3 linked regions of the Saccharomyces cerevisiae S288C genome follow. Changing the gene in region 3 together with the main gene of any one other region gives a genetic interaction. Each region holds a gene or a part of one and is shown on either strand. Other genes may lie near its edges.

Evidence for each region.
Region 1: mutations in DET1 (region 3) and YER187W together harm fitness more than expected from each alone (negative genetic interaction), as found in Saccharomyces cerevisiae (one large-scale study listed by BioGRID).
Region 2: mutations in DET1 (region 3) and YOL159C-A together harm fitness more than expected from each alone (negative genetic interaction), as found in Saccharomyces cerevisiae (one large-scale study listed by BioGRID).

Annotation. Positions count from the first base shown.
Region 1 is NC_001137.3:564,288-567,245, reverse strand, and holds YER187W (uncharacterized protein), read right to left. Parts: upstream 1,017-2,958; coding exon 591-1,016; downstream 1-590.
Region 2 is NC_001147.6:14,733-17,233, reverse strand, and holds YOL159C-A (uncharacterized protein), read left to right. Parts: upstream 1-1,728; coding exon 1,729-2,001; downstream 2,002-2,501.
Region 3 is NC_001136.10:556,384-559,579, reverse strand, and holds DET1 (acid phosphatase DET1), read left to right. Parts: upstream 1-1,519; coding exon 1,520-2,524; downstream 2,525-3,196. Other genes in the region: protein serine/threonine kinase activating protein DBF4, read left to right, coding at 1-1,069; triose-phosphate isomerase TPI1, read left to right, coding at 3,108-3,196. UniProt on the Saccharomyces cerevisiae protein: Metal-independent, broad-range acid phosphatase. Involved, either directly or indirectly, in the bidirectional transport of sterols between the endoplasmic reticulum and the plasma membrane.

The sequences.
Region 1 (2,958 bases), on a different chromosome or scaffold from region 3:
TATGTAATGCATTGAGAAATAATGCAATCTTGAAGGGCAATCACATATTTTTTAGAGTCATTAGTTGGTGTAGTCGAATTCTAATTATAGAATTTAATTCAATAATAAAGATAACGCTATATCACTTGACAAGAACTTAGCATGTAACCAGATGAGTTATATTTGATAATACTTATTATTATTTTTCTGAGCTATGTCTGAACTATTAGCTTCCATAAAACCAATCAGCGCGTATGTGGTGTGGTGTGTGTTTTGTACCTTAGTTTTGTTTTTTTTATAAATGTATTCGAGTTATTGTTGAATGTGGTAACCCAAAAGCATGATATGAGTAATGTTTTAGTATTGTTTCAGAGTTGTTTCAGTAATGCTTGAGACAAGGAAAACATATAGTAGCAAACCTCTAATCCGGTAGTACTTAAGAAACTATAGTTTCTATGTACAAAAGCAGTAACTATGTAATTATTACATTTACATAACATATAGAAGGGTCCAATAAACTTACTACATTATGACATATAAACTAGATCGTAATTCACTACGTCAACAGTTCTTAATTTCGGGTCAGTCAATTCAGCGACAGGCGTAAAGCTTTATCGACCATCTCCAGTGTTCTGAGCACCGATATGCTCGTCATTACAATAATTATCTATACCACCGTAAGTGTTAAAATATATCTCAGACTTGAATGCCGAACCCGTGCCTGCACCGTCACCAGGTATGTCATCGTAATCAAGTGGCTCACCGTTTTTCGTGTCCTCAGCAGCAAAGCAGTATTTCCAATCCCTATTACCTGAAAAGAAATTCTGTAACTTCTCTTCAGCATAAGAATCAAAATTTCCTGCTCCACCTTCGTCATTCTGCCAGTTCTGTGCCAGGTCACCATAACTCTGACTATATGTCATTGATATCCATGAGGTGGCGAACTCTTGACTGCGTCTCTGTAACGATAGGGCCGAAGCGTTGCCACTTATATCAGGTACCCCTGGTACCGCTGCCACGATTTGATCGATGAGCATGCTCACATTATGTACGCTACTCGTGCTGATGTGGGTTCCATGCTCCGTAGTATACCCCACAAAGTTGATCTCAGCAGCACCGTCACGTTTAATAGTGTCATGTACTGCATACCCACTAAACTCTATTGTAACAAAATTACTACCAGTACCATTAGACAATGTTTGCCCATTGAGCACATGATCAGTGAGTGTTATAGTATGATTCAGTACATTAATAGTCTCACTTAACCCTCGCTTTGTTGCTGAGCCAGAACTCTTTCCCACTAAAACTGCTGCAACTATAACTGCTGAAGTTGCTAAAACAGCACCAGCTATAGGTGAACATATTCCGCTAGTGGATGCGATACAGGTTGCTGCGACCCAGTAAGGAGTAGCATAAGCGGCTGCAGCAATTAAAAATCCTCCTAGTCCTAATCCAGTCGCAAATGATCACCTAGCTCGCCGTACTAGAGCAGCAGTGTTGGCGCGGTCAGGTATAGCTCCAGTTCTAAGTGTGCTTAAAAATAATGAGTACGCTACCAAAAGCAGTGCAAAAATTATTGCAAACAATCTAACGATTCTAAACGTCCTTGTTGTCAAGTAATTTGGAGGGCTGCTATTCATGTCGTCTGTGTATGATCTATTCATTTTTTCATATATTTTTTTCTATTCTACATACATTATTTGGGATTACGATACAGTGTTCCAGAATTGTCACTTTATATAGATTTGTTACAATGCATGACACTTGCCAAAATAATCAAGCCCAATACCTAAAATTTGCAAGCGCGCCTTCAAAGAATGGCTCCCCGCTGATTTTTAAGAAATACTACTTTTATAAAAAATATCTCAAAACACCTTAGTTTTTTCCTATACACTTCTTCTATTGTTTAAAGGCCCTGACATTCTTGGTCTCCAGGCCGCTCAATATGCTTCGCACCACGGTAAAAGGCGGCTGCACATGTGGTAAGTCAACAAGGACTCTTTTCACTAATTAGCATGGTGTGCTATCACATGTCATCAAGCTTTCCATGAAATAAACCATTGATTGTAAGAGAACCACCCAACAAATCAAATCAAGATGCCAATCAAAGTTACAGACTGCGTCCTTTTTCCGCCAATTGATCTAAAACAAAATCTAAAGTCAGTAAACATAGAATTTCTGTCATTTTGCGTTTTTTCGACAAATACGCGCACTACCCTGAAATTATTATCATGAAGATTACTATATTTATATTTAAAGGTTAACCTCGAGTTCTATAATATTATGTCATACAAGCTCATTATGTTAGAAAGCGAGTTATGGAGGTTCAAGTTCAGATGCCTTGGTTTGGTTTACTAACTAATATTTGAAATTCTTGCTAAATATTTTCAGTACTCCAAAATCTGAATATTTCAGAATTTCATATCCAGACCCATTCTATGAGCCAAAGTAAACCCCGTGTACTTTCAAAAGCAATGCTACTCTTCCCAAAATAATATAATATATATATATAACTGATACATATAACGTGTTGGAGTCGTATAGTGTTACAGTCCATGATTATACTCACCTCCCAGTGTATTCGTTAATAGAACTACGTAATTGTAAGCCGCTGAAAAATAGCTGGTGTTGAAACAACGAAGACCTCACCTCGATGATACCAAAATTATTAAGAATAAATATAATGAAACTTGTTTGAAAAAGAGCGGGAGCTCTGCTAGATGGAAGAGTTGCGTACAATACTTTTTTTTGAAGATGAGAAAACACTGGCTAAGGTAAAGCAGGTTTCCTGTAAAAGCTGCTAAACCGTCTTTCACGGTTTTGTAATCAAAAAGGCTTCTTACTATCCTTTCCCAGAACGAAATCATACGCATATTTGCCCACATTGTTAAGAGTTTGAATCATTAAAGCAACAATATACTACTAGACCTCTATCTTCTTCAAACCAATAGGTTCTGCTGTCGTAAAAGCATTCTTTTA
Region 2 (2,501 bases), on a different chromosome or scaffold from region 3:
AGATACATTTTTGGTTGATGTGATCAAGATTTTTTAGTTTGTAGATTTATTATATAGCACTGGGACATCATTAACATCGCACTTTCGAGTTAATGTATGTATACACAACATCGAGGAACAACAGCATCTAGGGTTAATGACATTGTATTGTATACTTTCGTTGTGCTAGTGGTGGCGTGATGCAAGAAGCTGATACATACCTGAAAATGAAAGAGGACGTAGCTATACGGTGTTTGTGGACGAGTTCACATACAGTACTGAAAAAGATGAGGATGGGCTGAGATAAAGTTTGAATGATAATGAATATTATTACATCTTCTTTCATTTTATATACCGTCATTCATTATCCCATGAAATTATCAAGCCTCGCGTTTCAACCTCTACTAAAATCGTTGACTGTTTCTCAATATTTATGTCTTTCTTACGTTGTATACGATAATATACACGTACTATGGATACTAGTCGATATATGATAGTTAATTCTCATTCCAATAAAAGTCGACACTACCGCTACCACCTAAAGTTATACTGTTTTTATGCGTGCGTACGCAACAGTTCATCAGAAAAATGTCTATCGTCAGAATCATCCCTCTGACATTTCAATTCCAAAAAGATTGCTCTATCTTTGGAAAGTGGCTAAACCTAGGAGTATTATAAAACTCACAAGTTCTTAGAACTTGCTTCGAGAGATCATAACAGGACAAGTATAATACGAGACGGAATAAGATTATCATACCAAAGATACAAAATAAAACAATTGGTAGTCTAAGGTGACAAAATTAACTGAAGCTGTAGCTAGCAATAAAAAAAAGATTCAAGATGTTCAGGGAGTGACGTATATTCCAATGCTTCCAATACAGCAGGCTTCAAGATTGTTGCTTCACTTTCAGGGCGGTGATTTGAAAGCAAACTCCCAAATTTACACTTAATTCTTCTCCTGAGCTGTTCAATGCAAAATGCACAAATTGTTATTTCCCATATAATAATTCCAGTTGACAGCACTATATCTAAAGGTTTCCGTATAATGATGATTTACCGCGTAGTATCATATAAGGGAGTAACAACAGCATTAATTATCGTGCCATTACTAAAAATAACTTAAGCATCAAGCGTAAATTATTGAACTCCAAACTCTATCAAACACTTAAAATAAACCAATATTGAAGAAAATTCGCAATATGTTGTAAAGATTCTGCTGACTAGAAATGGCAGGTAGGATTTTTTTTTTCTATCTAAAATGGTAAGATGAGCATTTTTTACTTGGAACGAGTGTAAAAACAGCAAGGTTACAGCCACATAATTCTCTAATAATACTGATGGAAAGCCGTCTTATTCGGAAGCTGTGAGTATTTTTTTCGTTGATTTGTTGCCAAAAAAATCCATGCAGAAGTGTACTCACTGGTTTTCATTTACCTTTTCAGCAGCACACCTGCCTGCCCCTTATTTTTAACGATTTCTTTCCATTTAGCGTAACTGCTGCCTCGGATTATTATGGTGTTTTTCCACCAGCTCTGCTTAAAGCGTAGAGTTCGCTTGTCTTCTCCCTCCCATCAACAGGAATTTTATTGATCGCGTAATTTCCTACCGACAGTTTGCAGAATGCCAGGTCAGACAGATTAAATATTAAATGAATAGCCCCATAGAATAAGTACTATATATACGCTGCTAGTTTCTTTGTTTTGTCGAGTTTGGGACCAAACCAATACCATTTGTGGAATCACTGCACATATGCAATACTGTGAACTCGATTTATCAGGGCAGTGGCTGGATACAGTATATTGTGAAGAGAATTTCTCCGACTTTGTCTTTATAAAGTTTCTAAATCCTTCACAGTTTGAAGAGAAGATATATTGTTATACTTTACATATCACCAAAAGGACACTAGAAAATAAGAGATTACTTTTGTATTATGAAGATGAATTCAAAAAACATGGTCACGATATTAATGAGCTTGTTGGCGACGGTATAATCTTGCGTTCATGCTGGAACCCTCGACAGTAATCAGACCGAGATTCATGCGTATGCTAGCTCTGTTGTCGACTCAGTAAACTTACAGCAAACCAATGGTACTATCAATCTAATCATAACTGAATTCAATGGTACTACCATTGGCTTTGATACAAACGTTACCAAAATTAATATTCTTGACGCCGACTTTTCTTTTCTTCGCCAACAAGTCAACCAAGAAATGCTAAAAAGAGGAAAAGGGTGTCTTAACGCAAGGTATCGTATCTCGACTGGAGGTTGTACTGATTGCGGTAAATCGCTCGGCTATTCATCTGCACACAATTGCGGTGGAAAGGGCTATTCATGCATTAAAACGTGCACAGAGAAGAATGGTCATGTTTGCTGTGAAGAGTGGTGTGGATCCAAACGCGCTGTCCAAAAAGAGGGATTTGAGAGTGGATGCTGCTTTAATAATCAATGTTACGGTGGCCATGACCACCATGATGAGCTTTAAATAATAAAGTTTAGGTAATATATATAAAGTGGGATAGTAT
Region 3 (3,196 bases):
CACCTTACTGAATACGTCATCAGTTAATGATCAAACGAAAAACCTAATATTCATACCTCACACATGCAACGATTCTACCAAGAGCTTCAAAAAATGGATGCAAGAAAAGGCAAAAAATTTTGAGAAGACCGAGTTAAAGAAGACGGATGATAGCGCAGTTCAAGATGTTCGTAATGAACATGCTGACCAAACCGATGAAAAAAATAGTATATTATTAAATGAAACTGAAACCAAAGAGCCTCCGTTGAAAGAAGAAAAAGAAAATAAACAATCTATAGCAGAAGAATCGAATAAGTACCCACAGCGAAAAGAGCTGGCTGCCACACCAAAACTAAACCATCCAGTATTAGCTACTTTTGCAAGGCAAGAAACTGAAGAAGTGCCGGATGATTTGTGCACTTTGAAAACAAAGTCACGTCAGGCATTTGAAATCAAAGCAAGTGGTGCACATCAATCTAATGATGTGGCAACCTCTTTTGGCAATGGTTTGGGCCCAACAAGAGCAAGCGTCATGAGTAAGAACATGAAGTCATTAAGTAGACTAATGGTTGATAGAAAGCTGGGAGTAAAGCAGACAAATGGAAATAACAAAAATTATACAGCCACTATAGCAACTACTGCTGAAACATCAAAGGAAAATAGACACAGATTAGATTTTAATGCTTTGAAAAAAGACGAAGCCCCTTCGAAAGAGACGGGCAAAGATAGTGCTGTACACTTAGAAACTAATAGAAAGCCCCAGAATTTCCCTAAGGTAGCTACCAAATCAGTCTCCGCAGACTCCAAAGTTCATAATGACATCAAGATAACAACCACAGAATCTCCAACAGCATCGAAGAAATCAACTTCCACAAACGTCACCTTACATTTTAACGCACAGACAGCACAGACAGCACAGCCGGTGAAGAAAGAAACGGTAAAAAATTCCGGATACTGTGAAAATTGTCGTGTAAAATACGAATCTTTAGAACAACACATAGTTTCTGAGAAGCATTTGTCTTTCGCTGAAAACGATTTAAATTTTGAGGCTATTGACTCGTTAATTGAAAATCTCAGATTTCAAATATAGGGACACGACGTAAAGTGCAGTAGCTTTTAGTGATAAAATCAAAATAGTATTGTTCCGTTTCCATTGCTGCTCGGAACAAAAAAGCTATCAACGGCAATGTTATTGAATCACTTTCTCATTCACCCTTGTTACTTTCTTGCTATTGACTTAACTCTTATTTACTCGTCCATATATTATCAATTGCATATATATACATATACATATATATATTATCATCTAGATTAATTACCGTTCATATCATAACTCATTCTGAACAAATAATGATCGAGTACCCACCGCGGTTAATGTCCCAGTTTTCATTTTTACCCGATATCCTGCAGAGACCGAGAGGCATGAAAAAAAAAAAGCTAGTTCTCAACTGCATTAATTGCAGCTCGTATTCATGGTTCAACATAAAAGAACTTACGCTACAGCATTCCATTTGAATAACTCAGAGTATTAGTAAAAGAAATGTGTGAAGAGAATGTTCATGTTAGTGAAGATGTTGCTGGCAGTCACGGTTCTTTTACGAATGCCAGACCTAGGTTAATTGTACTAATAAGGCATGGGGAAAGCGAATCAAATAAAAACAAGGAGGTCAATGGTTATATTCCTAACCATCTGATTTCTTTAACGAAAACAGGTCAAATCCAAGCTAGACAAGCTGGTATTGACTTATTACGTGTTTTAAACGTAGACGATCACAACTTGGTGGAGGATTTGGCTAAGAAGTATATTAAAGATGAAAGTAGCAGGAGAACTTTACCGCTGAAGGACTATACCAGGCTGAGTAGAGAAAAAGACACAAACATAGTTTTTTATACATCACCCTATAGAAGAGCAAGGGAAACATTGAAAGGTATTTTGGACGTCATCGATGAATATAATGAATTAAACAGTGGTGTTCGTATATGTGAAGATATGAGATATGATCCACATGGTAAACAGAAACATGCATTTTGGCCGAGAGGACTTAATAATACTGGTGGTGTTTACGAAAATAATGAAGATAATATTTGTGAAGGGAAGCCTGGAAAATGTTATCTGCAATATCGGGTTAAGGATGAGCCAAGAATAAGGGAACAAGATTTTGGTAATTTCCAAAAAATCAATAGCATGCAGGACGTTATGAAGAAGAGATCTACGTATGGTCATTTCTTCTTCAGATTCCCTCATGGAGAAAGTGCGGCAGATGTATATGACAGAGTCGCCAGTTTCCAAGAGACTTTATTCAGGCACTTCCATGATAGGCAAGAGAGAAGACCCAGAGATGTTGTTGTCCTAGTTACACATGGTATTTATTCCAGAGTATTCCTGATGAAATGGTTTAGATGGACATACGAAGAGTTTGAATCGTTTACCAATGTTCCTAACGGGAGCGTAATGGTGATGGAACTGGACGAATCCATCAATAGATACGTCCTGAGGACCGTGCTACCCAAATGGACTGATTGTGAGGGAGACCTAACTACATAGTGTTTAAAGATTACGGATATTTAACTTACTTAGAATAATGCCATTTTTTTGAGTTATAATAATCCTACGTTAGTGTGAGCGGGATTTAAACTGTGAGGACCTTAATACATTCAGACACTTCTGCGGTATCACCCTACTTATTCCCTTCGAGATTATATCTAGGAACCCATCAGGTTGGTGGAAGATTACCCGTTCTAAGACTTTTCAGCTTCCTCTATTGATGTTACACCTGGACACCCCTTTTCTGGCATCCAGTTTTTAATCTTCAGTGGCATGTGAGATTCTCCGAAATTAATTAAAGCAATCACACAATTCTCTCGGATACCACCTCGGTTGAAACTGACAGGTGGTTTGTTACGCATGCTAATGCAAAGGAGCCTATATACCTTTGGCTCGGCTGCTGTAACAGGGAATATAAAGGGCAGCATAATTTAGGAGTTTAGTGAACTTGCAACATTTACTATTTTCCCTTCTTACGTAAATATTTTTCTTTTTAATTCTAAATCAATCTTTTTCAATTTTTTGTTTGTATTCTTTTCTTGCTTAAATCTATAACTACAAAAAACACATACATAAACTAAAAATGGCTAGAACTTTCTTTGTCGGTGGTAACTTTAAATTAAACGGTTCCAAACAATCCATTAAGGAAATTGTTGAAAGATTGAACACTGC